3 linked regions of the Oryctolagus cuniculus genome follow. The protein of the gene in region 2 binds, or shares a complex with, the protein of the main gene of each other region. Links are inferred from orthologs where the notes say so. Each region holds a gene or a part of one and is shown on either strand. Other genes may lie near its edges.

Evidence for each region. The genes of interacting proteins can lie anywhere in the genome.
Region 1: INTS6 (region 2) and INTS12 share a complex: the UniProt entries of both Homo sapiens proteins name them as parts of the integrator complex. The link is inferred for Oryctolagus cuniculus from reciprocal best matches to the Homo sapiens genes INTS6 and INTS12.
Region 3: INTS6 (region 2) and INTS7 share a complex: the UniProt entries of both Homo sapiens proteins name them as parts of the integrator complex. The link is inferred for Oryctolagus cuniculus from reciprocal best matches to the Homo sapiens genes INTS6 and INTS7.

What each region holds. Positions count from the first base shown.
Region 1 is NC_091439.1:59,480,529-59,486,599, reverse strand, and holds part of INTS12 (integrator complex subunit 12), read right to left. Parts: intron 2,884-6,071; coding exon 2,731-2,883; intron 1,564-2,730; coding exon 1,376-1,563; intron 57-1,375; coding exon 1-56. UniProt on the Homo sapiens protein: Component of the integrator complex, a multiprotein complex that terminates RNA polymerase II (Pol II) transcription in the promoter-proximal region of genes.
Region 2 is NC_091440.1:70,752,002-70,758,072, reverse strand, and holds part of INTS6 (integrator complex subunit 6), read left to right. Parts: intron 1-2,284; coding exon 2,285-2,659; intron 2,660-3,623; coding exon 3,624-3,717; intron 3,718-5,570; coding exon 5,571-5,664; 3' UTR 5,665-5,713; exon of another isoform or gene 5,714-6,071. UniProt on the Homo sapiens protein: Component of the integrator complex, a multiprotein complex that terminates RNA polymerase II (Pol II) transcription in the promoter-proximal region of genes.
Region 3 is NC_091444.1:26,468,738-26,474,808, reverse strand, and holds part of INTS7 (integrator complex subunit 7), read left to right. Parts: intron 1-1,375; coding exon 1,376-1,474; intron 1,475-3,154; coding exon 3,155-3,340; intron 3,341-6,071. UniProt on the Homo sapiens protein: Component of the integrator complex, a multiprotein complex that terminates RNA polymerase II (Pol II) transcription in the promoter-proximal region of genes.

The sequences.
Region 1 (6,071 bases), on a different chromosome or scaffold from region 2:
GATTATGGCATTCTTGACATTCGACTAATTGATTACCAGATGCTACTGTCATCTGCCTAAGAAGAATATACCACTGAACATTATACTTTCCTGAATGCAACAATTTAAGTCATTTCAGCTTTGTTCTAGTATGTAAATAAACAAAAGGAAAACCAAAGAGCAAAATAACAAATCCCAACATGCAGCCTGCACAAGTACTTCAGCTATTTTAAAGCTTACAATCAACCATTAATAAATATAAAAGATACCCAAATAAAAGTGGGTATATTCTCCCTGTCATATCACATTGTAATTTTTTTTCTTTCTTGACAAGTTCTTCAACAGTCTCAAATATACTTTCTTTGTAGTTCTATTCAGTTCCTTAATATTAGTTAGCTAAATGTTGCTCTCTCTTCTTCAACATGAACAACCTAAAATTGAGAACTAAACATAATCATCTATAGCCCAGCACATGACTGTGCAAACAGGTGCTTGATGAATGTTGACTGAACTGAATACAGCAAAATATGCATCAAAATAGCACAAAAAGCTATCACTATAGTCTTGGCTTTTCATAGTAAGAATGCTGATAGAGCATTACAGTTACTATTACTCTCCCCATTACTTTTAACATTTACTTATTTACAAAATAACTTTCAAGGTAGACAAAGGATGAATAAACAAATATATGTTGAAAGCAGAAGCACATAAACTCATTCTCTATAAGATTATATTTACTTAGTTCTTAAAATCAGAATTTAACATTTTTAAAAAGAAAACATCAACAAAGATGACAATCTTTTTATTGTGCTAAGTGTTTAAGGGCATTAACAACTAAAAACATAATCCTTAGCATCAAGGAGCTTAAAATTTATTTTTGTAAATGTATTTTGTACTAAGCAGAATTATCTGTTTTTACACTTTTGCAGCTATATTATAAAACACCACTCAGAATAACCCATATGATCCATTCCTTTCATTTCCACTATCCTTAGGAAAATACTTAAGGATGCTTTAGAAAATGATATGTACCAGAGCATTTTTTATGCTATCAATTCAGAAAAAATAATTAAAAAAAAAGAGTCTGGTGAACAGAGTCTATTTCAAAAGAATAATGAAAAATCACTTTCCCCCTAGAACTCAAGAATGAAGAAATTATTACTACATGAATAAGTCAAGTCATAGTCAGGAGGATAAAATTGTTGATAATTTTCAAGATGTTAAATTGCTTTAAGAGTTGTTCATTAGGCATAATCTACTTATATATTCTCAATCCTTGAATAATAAAAACAAAATAGAACACTTCAACAATTGTTCTCATTTGGGAGAGAATGAAGGGGGAGGTGGTTGTTAAACAATCTGTATTAAGGTATGACTTACCTACCATGCGACTTACCTGCAAACAACACAGGCCAGTCCCATCTCCATAGCAAAATCATCAGCACTGGTCTCTTCAAAACTGGAAAGGTCAGCTATAGCTAAATCCTTGCTGGTTTGGACAGTAATGGGAGAGGACCGTGTCTCGGATTTCTCTAGTCTAGGTTTCTTTGGAATATCAGCTCCTTCAGTAACATCTGATTTTATCTATAAAAAGTACCAATCAGAAAATGATAATAAAAGTAATATATAATAAATTTGAAATCACTGAGAGATGTTTATAGCGTGTTATGATTAATTCCATTTTGCAGACATTTTGACTTAATTAGGGACAGATTTATACACTAGACTGTGGAAGAATTATAATTAAGAGTTCAACAGACTTACATTGCATATATTTTTGCCTATTACAATGCTTTGAATTCAGAAACCATAGCAACAATAAGGCTGTTTTCAATTTTAAATTATGGACTACTAATATTAAAGATATATTAAAAAAAGTAAATAATAAGCTATCTACTAGTCATCCAGACTAAACTATTAATGTGTTCACAAAGAGCTATGTATATAAAAAGTAGCTCATAGAAGCTCCTCATAATAGAGAAAGGAGAAATAACCTAACTGCTCATCAGCAGGGGAACACAAAAACTGGTTTATTCATAGAATGAATATTATATAGTACCTAACATAAGTATCCAGATCTATATACACCACCTTAGACAATTTTCAAAAGTACATTTCGAGGACATGAAAATTTACCAAAGGATATATATGCAGAGTACCTATCCCATAAATTCAAAAGCAGAGAAAATAGTATATGTTTATTAATGTTACTATTTATTAAAAGTAAGAAAATGTAAGAGATAATATACCACATGTTGAGGGGAAGGGTTACTAAAGATATACTTAAATGTATTTTTAATTAATTGTTATAATCTTAATTACTATTTACAGGAATCATCCAAAATAGAGAATCCAAGAATTATCCATCACCTCTTAAGGTTCAGACCATCCTATAACAGAATTCATGGTTAGTCATTTACATCTTTCCTCTTTCCTCTCTCTGTTTTTTTCTCAACAACTATTACATCTGGAAGCACTGCATTAAGGATTAAAGTTTACAGTTAGAGTTTATACTCAAACTATTATATCTCCTGAGGCTCAAATATTTAGTTTTAAAAATGTTTTTAACTTTTACTCATTTTTCAAAAGGTCTACATCTACAGCCATCAGATTACATCTACTGAGTGATTATTATGTATCTACACTCACTGTTATACAAATTAGAAGTAGGCATAAAACATTGTTTCTTGTCATCTATGCAACAAATGATTTACTTTTTTCTTTTTAAATTACATCAAAACAAAATCTTACTTTATCAGCAGGTCTCTTTTCAGCTTCCTTCTTTACCTTTTCAGTTGTGAGGACCTTGCCATTATTATTGCCTGAAGGAAGACTGGATGATGTTTTGGGCTCTTGCTTAATAGAAATAGCTTTTGTGCTTGAAATTTTGGGTGGCTCCACATCCTAAAAGGTAAAATAAAAAGATACTCAAAAATTAAATACTCAGGTTGCTTAATGCATTAAAAATTCATAAATCTAAGTAATTTTCATCTAAATGTTATGACCAATATTTTAAATAACATTGAGAAAATAACTTGAGAAATTGATATACAAACTGAACATACTTAAACTAGAAAATTTAAGTTTTGACATTTGTATAAACCATGACTCTATCACTATTTTCAATATAATGAACATATCATATCCAAAATCTCTTTGTGTTCCTTTGTAATCACTCTCTTATAGGACTATATCCTGAGAAACCATACCCCATTCTTAGGCAACAACTGATCTGCCTTCTGGAGCTACAGTTTATGTTGTACTTTCTAGAAATTAATTTAACTTACTGTATGTACTCTTTTTTGTATGGCTGCTTATATTTAGCATATATATTTTGAATTCATTCATGTTGTTGAGTGTGTAGATTCATTTCTTCTTTTTAAAAGAATGTATAAAATTCATCAAGAAGTCTCTATTTATTTATTTATTATTTTATTTGAGAAGTAGAGTTACAGATAGAGAGGATGAGACACAGAGATGTCTTCCATCTGGTAGTTCACTTTCCAAATGGCTACAACAGTCGGAGCTGGGCCGATCTGAAGCCAGGAGCTTCATCCGGGTCTCCCACGTGGGTGCAGGGGCCCAAGCACTTGGGCCACCTCCACTGCTTTCCCAGGCACATTAGCAGGGAGTTGGATCAGAAGTGAAGCAGCTGGGACTCAAATCAGCATGTATATGGGATGCTGGTGCCACAGGTGGAGGCATAACCTACTATGCCACAGAGCCCACCCTGTCATTTCTTTTTAATGCTGTGGGATATAACACAATCTGTTTGTCCACTTACCTACTGATGAACATTGTTTGTACTTTGGGGCTACTGCTAATAAAGCTGTTACATACTTTCATGTACATGTATGGACATGTACTTTCACTGCTCTAGAGTAAATTTCTAGGAGTGGAATGGTCATATGGTTAGTGTATGCTTAATTATTTAAGAAACTGCCAAACTGTTCAAAAGTGGCTGTACCATTTTTCATTTCCACCAGGAAGATACGAATGTTACTTAGAATGGTTAGTCTTTTTAATTTTGAACATTCTAATAAGTATATAGCAGTATTTCCTTATGGATTTAATTCACATTTCCCTAAAAGCTAATGATGTTAAACATTTGGTCAAAAATTTTTTCCATTTAAAAAAATGAGGTTGTTTTCTTTTTCAGATTAAAGAGTTCTTCACAAGACCTTTGTTGATACGTGACATGCAACTGTTTTCTTTCAGCCTATGGACTTTTTATTCTGGCTTAAACTTAAAATTCTTACTATCATATTATCAAGGTTTTGCTGATATAGTTGTCATTTATTGTTGTTAACGGTATAAAAAGTTGATGTATATCATGCTCCTCAGAATCACCCCCAGATCTGCCAAGTAAACCTGGAATAGGAAATGCAGTCTATTTTCTGTGATAATACATAAAAGTATAAATGGAATGATATACATCAACTTCAGAATAGTAGTTACCTCTGTGGAAGAAGGGAAGGGGAGTGGGTTTCAGATCCACTGATAGCAGGGTGTGATTTAATGTTGTGCTGATTGTTTAGACCATTGTTAGTAAACTGAAACTCACAGGCCAAATCTGGCTTGCTACTTATAGCTATACTGGAACACAGCTGCAGTCATCCATTTATGTAGTATAAGAAGCTGCATTCATGCTACCATGGCAGAACTAGTTTCACCAGAGACCATCAGGACCACAAAACCTAAAATTCACTATTTGTTTCTTCATAGAAAGACTGTAGACTAAGGAAACTAATAGAGAAAATGTTAAAGCATGTCAAACTTAAAAAGTTAATCATGTATGTAACATAAAAAATTGAGGACATAATCCTGCAGCATTTGAGAAATATTATGTAATTAAGCAAAGAAGTTGCTCAAGTCATTGGTGGGTGAGTTTAAGTTCCAACTTCATTGTTCACATTTGCCTTCTCATTTATATAGAGTATCAACCAATATTTATGTTAAAATTACATTCACAAAGCTGGTTATTAATGTTTACAAGCATACTACTGTCTCCAGGTGATTCTTAGGCATGCTGAAGCTTCAATCACTCTTCTCACACAAGTTATGTTGGAAATGTTTGGATGAAAGTTAAAATTAAATTAACTTGTGCTTTTAAAATACTTATTTTCTCTAGCAGGAGAAGTGAATTCCAGTTAGCAATCTAGGGGCAGCAGGCTTTTTAATCACAACAAATTTTTGATGTGCTTTAACAGATGAACTTCCATTTTAGAATCTCACTTTATTTGGTAATAGATTTTTCCTATTTGGATAATACCAACACACAGAGCAGGATGAACTTGGTAGTGTGTTTTGTAGATCTGTACTAATGTGATACACCTTAATTTATTGACCCTACCAGAATGAGAATGAGTAGAAAAAACTGAGAGTACAATGTTTCTACTATTCAAAAGACAAAAAGGCTTGAGAGTACTAGAGTTACTGTTGAAAAAAAGACTAGAAAAAAACATGAATGTTTACTTGGGTGCTAAGTATGAAACCTGACCCTGTCTTGAGCATCAGATTCTAAACAGACTTGAAGTAGTCGGGTAGTTCTATATTCCTCTTCTCAGCTTGGTTTCTAGGCCCACAGACCTAGGTCACTTGGAGTTACAGGGCTAGGGTATAGAGATTTGAAAGAATACTTAGTAAGTATTAGAGAATAAGTATTGTCATTTATAGCAGCATATTATATACCAGGTAGATACTAGTCTAGGTGACTTACAGTATTTCTCTTAATTTTGTGTAAAATGGGATTTCAAATAGGTTTGTCTGGCTCCAACTGTGCATTCTTTTCATATAAAGCTACCAATGGCTGCTTTGTTATTATCAAGATTGGAGTTACATAGTTCTCAGAGTTTATTTACACCTCCTTTCTTCTTAAATTATCTACTTATATTTAATTTAGTTTTTTGAATAATCCCTTTCCTTTTACTTTGTTAATATTTGGCTTTAAAACATTATAGAGAATAATCAGAAATTGTGGTTACATTCAGCAGCTTAAAAAAGTCTTTGTGACCATAAAGAATTGGAAATTATGTGGTAAACAAGTGGGTATCTATAAACATAAACTAGTAGAATAGAATACTACCCACATC
Region 2 (6,071 bases):
CTGAATGCAGGTTGGAAGGAGGTACATAATGAGTCATGAAGCTTGAGGTTTTGCCTAGCATGTGTCCTAGGAGGACTATGGAACAAGAGAAGTAAAGACATTGATAATAGTGATGTATCATGAGAGATAGGCCTGGCTGGTAAGCCACTGTCTAGAACAGCTCTAATTAAAAGGAGGGAGAAAGTAGAGGAGTGGCTGAGCTAGAGAACCGTAGCCAGGGCCCTTCAAAGATGAGGGCTGTGCTCCTGCATCCCTGAATGTGAATTGGTTGGGTGGGGAGGCAGCTCTTTGGAGTTAAGAAATTGGGGGGCCGGCACTGGCTCACTTGGCTAATCCTCCGCTTGCGGTGCTGGCACCCCGGGTTCTAGTCCCAGTTGGGGCGCCGGATTCTGTCCCGGTTGCCACTCTTCCAGTCCAGCTCTCTGCTGTGGCCAGGGAGGGCAGTGGAGGATGGCCTACGTCCTTGGGCCCTGCACCCACATGGGAGACCAGGAGGAAGCACATGGCTTCAGATCAGCACAGCGTCGGCTGTAGTGGCCATTTGGGGGGTGAACCAACGGAAGGAAGACCTTTCTCTCTGTCTCTCTCTCTCACTAACTCTGCCTGTCAAAAAAAAAAAAAAAAAAAAAATCAGGGAATGGGAGGCCAGATTCTTGGCATGTGATCTGCTTAGACACTGGTCACCACAGCACTTCTCACACTTTAATGTTCATGTGAACCATCTGGGGGTCTAGTTAAATTGCAGGTGCTTGTTCCTTCAGTCTGAGATGGCGCTCAGTGCCAATGCTGCTTGTCTATAGACCACACTTTGAGTAGTAAGGATCTGTTGTCAGGAGGGACTTGGGGATAAGAAGAAGGCTGTGAACCAGATGCCAAAGACATCACTGGCTCCAAGAATGTGCCCTGAAGTTATAGGGTAGTAATGAGGAGAGAGAGGATGAGTGGCATCATTGAGCCTCAAAGGAGCAAGAATTTTTACATGAGTGCCCGAAGAAATCTTGAAAGGACATGGGGAGGCAAAAGAATCTGTGACCCCATGTGGAGATTTTAAGCACGTGAAGAGTGTGTGAGGGAGAGCAGTTTTTACTGCTGGTCTGAAAAGGAGTGCAGTTTCTTTACAGGAGCACTGAGTCTCAAAGTGTAAAATATTGTAGAGAATATCCAGTAAAGAGGAGTTAGTCAGGCACAAAATTGGATTTAGGTGTTCAGGGGATTGTGGGGCTGAGTACAGGGAAGTGTGAGTAAACCAGGAATTGACATTTGGAGATAGTGTAAGGAGGACAGCAGAGACGAATTCAGCTTTGGTCCTTGAGGACTTGGAATTCAGCTGCTTTTCTGGGGACCAAGTATAATAACCTGGTGTTAACTGGTAACTTTGCAAGTGTGTGGGTGCAATGGTCTAATGAAGTAGACAGCAAGTGGCTCTGCACTGTTCAATTCTTGAGGACTGGCTGGCTGGTCAGAAGGAATGGTATACTGAGAAACGTGACCTGTTCGGTAGTATGTTCTCTGCAAAGTTGGGAAGAGCGAAAACCGTTCAATGTTTTACTTTTGCCTCTAACTGGTAACAGATGTAATAGATCATCAGAATGAGCTGAAGCTCTCTAAGATAAAGATGACCATGATAATTTACATCACATGTATTTACTGAAGTGTTAAAAATCTTCTTCAGGGCTGGCGCTGCGGCTCACTAGGCTAATCTTCCGCCTTGTGGTGCCGGCACACCGGGTTCTAGTCCCGGTCGGGGCCCCGGATTCTGTCCCGGTTGCCCCTCTTCCAGGCCAGCTCTCTGCTGTGGCCCGGGAGTGCAGTGGAGGATGGCCCAAGTGCTTGGGCCCTGCACCCCCTGGGAAACCAGGAGAAGCACCTGGCTCCTGCCATTGGATCAGTGTGGTGCGCTGGCTGCGGCGGCCATTGGAGGGTGAACCAATGGCAAAAGGAAGACCTTTCTCTCTGTCTCTCTCTCTCACTGTCCACTCTGCCTGTCAAAAAAAATAAAAAAAATTTAAAAAAAATCTTCTTCAATAAAACTGTCGAATAAAACAGAGGACTAAAATCTAGTTAGAATTGGCTTTTTGATTTGTTTTTTTTTTCTAAGAAAAGTGTACAGATTTAGTGAATATTGTGAATGTTGCACATTGAAGTCCACCATATCTTTGACAAAGCTTCAGAACCAGATCTCATCATTTGTTAATTTACCTTAGTCAAAGATAGAAGTTGTGATTGACTTTCTTTACCATGTGCTTTCAAATTGGCTCTCAGCATTTTTCTCCTTTGTTTTTAGTTTCAGAAACCACTAATGATTCAACAATAGATGATGTGATTGAAAATCATGTTGCAGACCAACTTTCATCAGATGTTACACCAAATGCTATGGATACTGAATTTTCAACATCATCTTCTCCAGCCAATTTACTGGAACGACCAACCAATCATACAGAGGCTCTTGGTCATGATCATTTAGGAACTAATGACCTCAGTGTTGGTGGATTTTTAGAAAATCATGAGGAACCAAGAGATAAAGAACAGTGTGCTGAGGAGAACATACCAGCATCTTCACTCAACAAAGGAAAGAAATTGATGCATTGCAGAAGCCATGAAGAGGTCAACACTGAACTAAAAGCACAAATAATGAAAGAGATCCGAAAACCAGGAAGAAGTATGTATAATTGGCCAAACCTCAGATTTGATTTCTATATGTGCTCAGAAAACAGATTGAATTACTGAAAGCATACACCATGGTCTTGAGCAGTATTTAAACCATTTAAGATTGATTCTTTGTTCATTCGGCAAACACTTACTATCTGCAATGTCCAGGGTACTACATATGATAGAAGTTAATGTCATGGAAGCTAAAGGATTATGGAATTGAGTGAGTTAGGATTAGTAAGAACTGAGAGCTGAAGAAAACTATAGATGGGTTGTGTGTGGGGTTCCTACCATGACAGGAACCCATAGTATTTTAACCTGCCAACCCCAAAAATTATAGTATTAAATGACTTCATGTCTATATTGTTTACAGAATGTACGTTGTGTTTCAGATTTAAACTATGATAGTGACCAACAATATCCTTAAGCCAAAAAGCTAAATTATATTAGTACAGAAGTACTTCATGGTAATCAAATTCGATATTATTTGGATTCATTCAGAAGATGTTAATAGATCACTTGCTCTGATAGTGCAAAAATGACCTGTAGTGGTCCAGAAGTGGGTAAGACTCAGAGAACTTGGCATTTAGGAGTGTATAAGTCCTTGGCAGGGTTGTGTGTGAAAACCTGAAACTGAAGTAGCGTTCTTATACTGTTTGGGGTTTTTGTTTCTGAAAAGGCCACTTGCCTTTTTCTTGTCAGTGGTACTACCAAAAAAGCCGTGTAACTCATTCTTCTAAGCTTTATGTTTGATACCTTCATGGGAACTTTTACCCAAAAAAGCATTGCTTAACAAGTTGTTTTATCTTTGTTGACACATACTTTTCTCACAAGTCTATGTTAAAATGTATTGTAAAACGGAGTAGTGAAATTTTTATGTAGAATGTTTTGTTTCATTGTATCTTTTTGTTTGTTCCAGTATATGTTAATGCTGAAAGGCATTTAATTTTTCTTTTTGCTTCTCTTGTTTTAAGAATATGAAAGAATCTTCACTTTACTGAAGCATGTGCAAGGCAGTTTACAAACAAGACTAATATTTTTACAAAATGTCATTAAGGAAGCATCAAGGTAAACAGATTATTTTATACAATATGAATTGGTGATGAAATGGGTCCCCAGTTTATACTTATAGAAAATATTTTACTAGTACCCATCATGCATTTGTGTTTATGCATGTTTATGACACAAATACATAGGAGAACTTTTTTCTGTTTACTGAAATCAGTTCACTTAAAAAGTAGATACACAAATCCTTCAAGAATTATGAACCTTTTCTCCATGCAAATTATTAGTTTTTTTTCATAATTCTTATTTAACCTCTTTAGCTTTTTGGTGTCTTCATATTTTATAGGCCTTAATTTTTCTCTTTTATATGTCAATCAGTAATTAGAAGTAACTTAGGAAGACAGTATTTGAATACAGTTCATTTTTGCATGGGAAGACATTTTTAAACAAAAAAGGATTTATTTATCTGAAAGGCAGAGTTAGAGAGAGAGATATCTTCCATCCACTGGTTCACTCCCCAAATGGCCACAATGGCTAGAGCTGGGCCAATCCAAATCCAGGAACCAGGAATTTCTTCCGGGTCTCCCAAATGGATGCAGGGTCCCAAGGATTTGGGTCATCTCCCACTGCACTCCCAGGCACATCAGCGGGGAGCTGGATAGGAAGAAGAACAGCTGGGACTCAAACCGATATCAATATGGGATTTCAGTGCTGCAGACAGTGGCTTTACCTGCTATGCCGCAGTTTTGGCCCTAGGAAGACATGTTATTAAGGGGACCAGAGTTGGACAGATGGACCTTAATCTGATTGTTTCAGTAGCCCAGGACTATGGACAAGGAATGTGGATCAAAATTATAAATGTAACTACAAAGTATAGTTAATTGGAAAGCATACTTGTATGAGTTTACACACATTTTTAGTGTTTCCTTCTAGACCTTGAGAATTTTAATATTAGAAGATTTATGGTTTATCTCATCTGACTTTCAAATATAAACATACTCATGTTTTGATTAATCTTCCATCTCTTTATTGCTACATGTAAAGGATTTAGATAAAGCAATTTTTTTTTTCCTGGAGTGGCTAGAGCATAAACTACTTTGAAAGATCAAGATAAGACCATAACTTTTCTATACAATTTTAGCAAATTAGCTTTCTCTGCTTTTCGTGGTGATGTTCTGTTGAATGAAGCCTCATAGATTCAGTTCTATTCCTGGTACCTCTACTATGCTTCTGCCACTTTCAGGGAGCAGTATAATATTATGGCGACTTTATATTAGTTACAGGAAGAGAGGAAATAGAGTAGAATTTAGTTTTTTTGATTAATATTCATGTAGAGGACTGTAATTGTAGTCTACTTATATTTATTGCTGAAAATTTTTAAAAAAAATTACTTTGTGAACATTAAGTGCTTGCTATACCCTCTGTAACATATGTCTAATTATTGATTTGCTGACTATTTAAATTATAATAATGGAACATTATGGTTTTTAAACATTACTGTCTTTTTTAATTTCTCCTTTTTTTTTGTGGAGAATTATACTTTCTTTGTATGCCTTTCAAAGAGTTTGAGAAGCTCTTGGAATAATTGCTTTGGGAATCCCAATTTTCCTAGAATATATCCAATCTACAGATGGTAGGATTTTTTTTCCTTTTCAAAAGTTGTAGAAGGGATAAACTCATTCCTGTTATTTCTGGGCTTAGACTATTTGTTTTAGGGATAATCTATCAAAAGTGTATTGATAAAAGAACATGCTAATCTTCCAACAGATTTTTATGTCATGGATTGTTGATTTTTTTGGTTTTCATTTCACTTTGAAAAATCTTCCAAAAACAGTTTTTTGCCCTTTTCTAAACATCATAACATGCCATTCATTAGAAAAGCAATTGAGAATGTTATTATTTATATTTTTATACAGGTTTAAAAAACGAATGCTAATAGAACAACTGGAGAACTTCTTGGATGAAATTCATCGAAGAGCTAATCAGATCAACCACATTAATAGCAATTAAAAGAAAATAGAATGTGGCCATTTATTTCACTGTCTTCTCCAAATACAAAGTAAATACAAGACTGTTGTGATCTTGCATTCATTTTTTTGACATGCATTGTTGGCTACTTGAAATACTAAGAGCAAGTCTACAGATCCTTTTTCCATCATTTTACAGTGACCTTTTCTTCATTTTGGTTTATTTTTGTAATGTGAAAAGTATCACTCTAAAAAACATTTTTATTTAACAAACTAAAAATAATTCCTCCAGATCTCTTGCTTGTCATTGACTCTTGCGTGTCAATTTCCCTCAGGTTCTATTTTCTTAAACCAACCTTTAAAATTGTCACCTCTGTTAAGGTTGAACTTTGCCAAAAAAAAAAAAATTAAAAAGAAGTTACTTTGTAATTTTTGGGGAAAAAAAGCACA
Region 3 (6,071 bases), on a different chromosome or scaffold from region 2:
TTCTATGAAACAGAAAGAATGCCTGCCTCCTAGGAGTACTGGGAAGTGTAAGTGAATTCATGCTTGTTGTACCTGGCATATAAGGAGTAGTTAATGAATGTTAATTCCATTTTCTCCCTTTCCAAATTACTTCATAGATTTGATACTAATTCAGCCTACCAAGTATTTATTGGATCCTAAGAATAGAAAAATTATAAAGACACAGGCTTTTCCCTCAAGTTATCCATAAGCTAAGAAAGAAAAATTTTATAAACATCATACAGTGTACTTGCAGTCACAGAGCTCTGCACGAGGCAGAGATGTAGCCAGAAGGATGAAGTAACTCATGCTAAAGGGTAGGGAGAACAGAGAGGAGGACTTCCGAGAGCGACAGCGGCTCTGCGGGTGAGCTTTCGGGACAGGAGTGGTGGGGAGTCTCGGGCAGCAAACAGCGGACAGCAGAGGCTGGCCATGGCGTGGTGTCTTCTGGGAGCAGTGTGTTGTTGCTGCAGCATGATGTAAGGCCAGGGGAGGGGGAGCTTGCACTTAATGTGGGGAACTGGGGAGCTTTTGAGGCATTTTAAATAGCTGTGGGAGACAAGTGGCTGAGACTCTCACTTTCTTACTCTTTCTTGCTCTTTAAAATGAAAATAAATAAAAATATGGCTAATATGTCTGATAGCTCTAAACTCTAAAGAAATGTGAATTTTTGGCCGGCGCCACGGCTCACTAGGCTAATCCTCCGCCTAGCGGCGCCGGCACACCGGGTTCTAGTCCCGGTTGGGGTGCCGGATTCTGTCCCGGTTGCCCCTCTTCCAGGCCAGCTCTCTGCTGTGGCCAGGGAGTGCAGTGGAGGATGGCCCAGGTGCTTGGGCCCTGCACCCCATGGGAGACCAGGAAAAGCACCTGGCTCCTGGCTCCTGGCTCCTGCCATCGGATCAGCGCGGTGCGCCGGCCGCAGCGCGCCGGCCGCGGCGGCCATTGGAGGGTGAACCAATGGCAAAAGGAAGACCTTTCTCTCTGTCTCTCTCTCTCTCTCACTGTCCACTCTGCCTGTCAAAAAAATAAAAATAAATAAAAATTAAAAAAAAGAAATGTGAATTTTTGCCTTATGTGCGGCCTTAAGGAATCTCATTCTCCTGTCATTCTTTTTCTATTGAATATACTTCAAAATAAAGTAAAAATCTGCAATGTAACTCAAAAGTCTGTTTAACTCCTTGAAATGAATGCTTTAGTAGCAGTACACAATTCCTGGAGACTGTACCGATTTCTTTGTTGGTATCTACTTTTTAAATAATCTGTAAGTGTTTGCAGTTTTAAACTTTTTGAATGTACCACATTTGTTGATGACAGTTGAAAATGTATTCACATGTGATCCCATTTCTTTTCCCCCCAGCACACAGCCTGCCTGTGCAATGCCATCATTGCTTTGCTGAAAGTTCCCCTTTCATTTCAGAGATACTTTTTCCAGAAACTGCAGTCTACCAGCATCAAGGTACTATCTCCAGAACAGTAGGGTTAATACAGGTGAAAAGCCAGCTCTCCTGTGAGGTCTGAGTAGGACGTAGGTGTAGTTCAGTGCCTTACCTTTGGCTTTAGGAAAACACAGCCTTCAGCTGTAAGCCTGTCCTCCCATTATCCAGTGATTTGGTGAAGGGAATGGGGTTTCAAAGGTAAACCCTCTTCCTTTGTAACTGCCAGCGCCAAGTGCAGTGAAACGGGCATCTGGGTAATTGGAGCTCTGTTCCTTGTCTTCTGTAGCGAGGAATGAAGTAATGGTTGGGTTTTTTGGTTTTTGGTTTTTGGTGTTTTTTTTTTTCTTGAAGATTTATTTATTTGAAACTCAGAGAGAGAGAGAGAGAGAGGTCTTCCATCCACTGGTTCACTCCCCAATTGGCTGCAGTGGCCAGAGCTGCACCAATCCAAAGCCAGGAGCCAGGAGCTTCTTCCAGGTCTCCCACATGGGTGCAGAGGCCCAAGGACTTGGACCATCTTCTGCTGCTTTGCCAGGCCGTAGCAGAGAGCTAGCTCACAAATGGTGAAGCCATGGCCTGAACCGGCTCCCAGGTGAGATTCTGGCACTGCAGGTGGTGACTTAACCCACTGCACCACAGTGCAAGCTCCGAGTTAATGGTTTTTACAAAGTACCCTTCAGAAATCCTGAGCTGAGTCTATGTCTGTATCAGGCCATTAAGACCCAACCTGAAATAAATCAGATGGTCCAGTCAACATCACCAGTCCTAACTCCAAAAAAAGCATTTTTGCCTTTGAATAGCTAGTTTTAAATGCTGGCCAATGAGTAGAGTTAGCATTTTGAAATATTTACACAAAATATAAATGCTAAATTCAAAATCTGTTTTTCATTCAGAGAATAAAATTGTTGGGAAAGGGGGAGAATTTGTCTTCTAATTGTCCTTGTTTGTTAATGTCTTCAGCAAACTTTCAGATTCATTAGAATGCTTTGGATTGCAAATAACAGAGTAGTCTATTTCAAAATGCCCTGAATAATGAGATATCTGCAGATAGGAGGCCTCTAAGGCAGGGGTGTCCAGGGTGGGTTATACAGTGGCTCGGCAGCATTATCAGTGACTCAAGTTTCTCCCATCTCTTCATTCAGCAAGACTTGAGCTGTCTGTAATTGAAGTGTATTTGGGACTTTAATACATTTTTCAAGCAAAACTACTCTAATAAGTTAAAAATGTCCTTTGGCTCATGTTTGAAAATTGACTTTTTTTGTAAAAACCATGATGATTTAATTATGTAAGCGGCCCTAGAATTTTAAGTTCTTTTGCATTTGGATTTGTGTATTTCAAATTACCTAAAACCAAACAGAAAGCTGGATGAAAATTTACATGGTGTATTTGCCTACTGGAAGTGGCTCATTTTCACAAAAATGCCCCCCCACAAACGGTGGGGTATGGCCCCATTTCTGTTCTCTAATCCTGTCACCCCCAAACACAGCAGTTTGGGATGAAAAACACAATTGTGTTAAAAAGGAGGCAGTGGGGATTGGCTTTAAAGGTACATCTACCTGCTGTCCCAGCACAGGCAGACCATCAGGGGAGGGTCAAGGGCGCCAGGATGTTAATCTGTAACCAGTGGTTACCACAGAGATGCTTGTTGGGAGGAAGCTTGCTCTTGGTTGTTGGCATTTATTTTAATGTTGATATTCCAGCTTGCTCTGTCGCCATCGCCCCGGAACCCTGCGGAGCCCATTGCTGTCCATAACAACCAGCAGCTGGCACTAAAGGTGGAGGGAGTGGTTCAGCACGGATCTAAACCAGGACTCTTCCGCAAAATTCAGTCTGTCTGTCTGAATGTTTCCTCCACGCTACAGAGTAAATCCGGACAAGACTACAAGGTAACTCAGAAAAGCCGCAGTCGCGCTGCAGATGTTTCAGCTCATTGATGGACATTTCCCTCTGTTTTCCCTGGTTACGCAGATTGCGCCTCAGAAGGGATGAGGTAGACAGAAACGTCAGGCCTTGAGGAGGCTGATCAGCAGCAGCACTTCTCTTTTCCCTTGCCAGGCCAGTGGATAGACACAAAGCATCCAGGCCAACAAACATCAAAATACAAGTTTTTTACCGTTAGAACTGGAGCCTGGCAGCAAGGGCTTCCTTGTGCCTGTGAGGTCAGTACGTGAAAGCCCCCCCCCCCCCCCCAAAAAAAAAACCTACGGCCCGGCCTGGGGGAGTATCCTGCTGCCCCGAGGAGTTGCTTGAGGTTCACTGGCCCCATGCCTCCAGAGGCTGGTACTGTTAATCTCATGGAGGGTCCCTCCACAGGAATGAAGAATGAATGGCTCCTAGCCCACTTTCCCTTTTTTGGAATTTTACACTTGCATAGATAGGTCAGATGACTCATTAGGATACAGAGATCAAATAAGGTGAGATCTTAAAGGTATAACCCGTCACCCTAGGAATACGCTGCTTTGAGAAGTCGTGATGTCGTGAGGCAGGTTAAGTACTAGCCAGAATCAGGTGGTTACACCAGAGCTGTGGAAATACCAGTGGCCCAAATATCGAATGTTCCTTTCTTGAGACATTTCTTTCCAGTTCCTCGGTGACTTATCCACAGTAAATGAGCAGGGAACAGACACAGTTAATTCAGATGCTCAGGTTGGCTGTGTCCAGGTTTACGGTGGCGTGTCTGACTGGGGTCCCCAGCAAGGAACGGGTTCTGGGGAAGAGAAAAGGAAAGCATTTCCTTGCGTGGTGGTCGCCGGCTTCAAAAGCGAAGGGAAGCTCTGGCTTAGTCCATCGCTTTATTGACTTTGGTAGCTGCCCCTTTGCCTGGTCTCTGATAAACTTCGGCCTTAGAGCTCTTCCTCTTTGCCTAGACCTTAGATAGCCACCAGCAAATATTTGGTGAATGATGGAAAAACCACTTACTGTATGAAGATTACCACTGTTATGGTTGGGTAATCTCGGCTCTCACAGGAGGTTGCAGAGATAATTTATACATTTAATTTATCCCTTCTGCAGCTCTCTCCTCGCTTTGAATTTGAAACAGCAGTAACCAGGATTCTCTTTCTTCCTTGTACGCAGTAATTTTTTACTGTTAAGGAAAGATTTAGACCTAGAAGCACTGATCTGTTGTTGACTCACCTCTCAGAGGCACTGATTAAGTAAGGAAGCTGGTAGAGTCGGCCATGCGGTGCGTGATTACTGGGCCATGGTAATTGTCCTGAGTTTATAATTTAAAATGCAGCCATCCATTCAAGTGATCAGGTTGCTTGGGCCTGCTTGGTTTTTGGTTTTTTTTTTTTTCCTTTGTTTATTTGTTTTTATTCAAGAGAGTGGACCCCTAGGCCCTGGTTCATTCCCCATATACATGAATGGCCAGCCCTGCCTGAGCCAGGAGCCAGAACTCAATCCAGGTCTCCCATGTGGGTGCCAGGGACTCAGCTACCTGAGCCCTCAGCTGCTGCCTCCCAGGGTCTTTACACTGGCAGGAGGCTGGAATCGGGATCTAGACCCAGGTCTCTAGGCCAGGCACTCTGTGCGGGGCCTGGGCACCTTACCCACGAGCCCGAGCACTCACCCAGCTGGGACTACTTCCAGTGCTTTGGAGGAAATGATTCTCTAGTAGGCATATGTTGTAAGGAAATAAAAGCTACAAAAACTGAATGCGGGGGAAGGGAGAGTACTTAGATTATACATAATACTAAGATCTTGAATTGGTTGACTTCAGTTCATTTTTTTTTAATGATTTATTTATTTATTTGAAAGAGTTACAGAGAGAAGGAGAGGCAGAGAGAGAGAGAGAGAGAGAGAGAGGTCTTCCATCCGCCGGTTCACTCCCCACAATTGACCACAGTGGTCCGAGCTGCGCCATACCGAAGCCAGGAGCCTGGAGCTTCTTCCAGGTCTCCCACGCGGGTGCAGGGGCCCAAGGACTTGAGTCATCTTCTACTGCTTTCCCAGGCCACAGCAGAGAACTGGAACGGAAGTGGAATAGCTGGGACTCCAACCAGCTCCCATATGGGATGCTGGCACTGCAGGTGGTGGCTTTACCCGCTACACCACCGTGCCGGCCCCAGACTTCAGTTCATTAATGTTACATATAAATGTCCCTGGAAAACTGATCATATGATAACTGCTCATTGAGACATAAAATTGCAGGGCACATTTGTCAAATGACACTACAGAAAATTACACATAAAGAGAGAAATCTAGCCGGCACCGCGGCTCAATAGGCTAATCCTCCACCTAGCGGCGCCGGCACACCAGGTTCTAGTCCCGGTCAGGGCGCCGGATTCTTTCCCGGTTGCCCCTCTTCCAGGCCAGCTCTCTGCTGTGGCCCGGGAAGGCAGTGGAGGATGGCCCAAGTGCTTGGGCCCTGCACCCCATGGGAGACCAGGAGAAGCACCTGGCTCCTGCCTTCGGATCAGCGCGGTGCGCCGGCTGCAGTGCACCAGCCGTGGCAGCCATTGGAGGGTGAACCAACGGCAAAAAGGAAGACCTTTCTCTCTGTCTCTCTCTCTCACTGTCCACTCTGCCTGTCAAAAAAAAAAAAAAAAAAGAGAGAGAGAGAAATCTAGTCAAATATCCATTAAGGTTACCTTCATGTGTATCCTCAGAATAAGT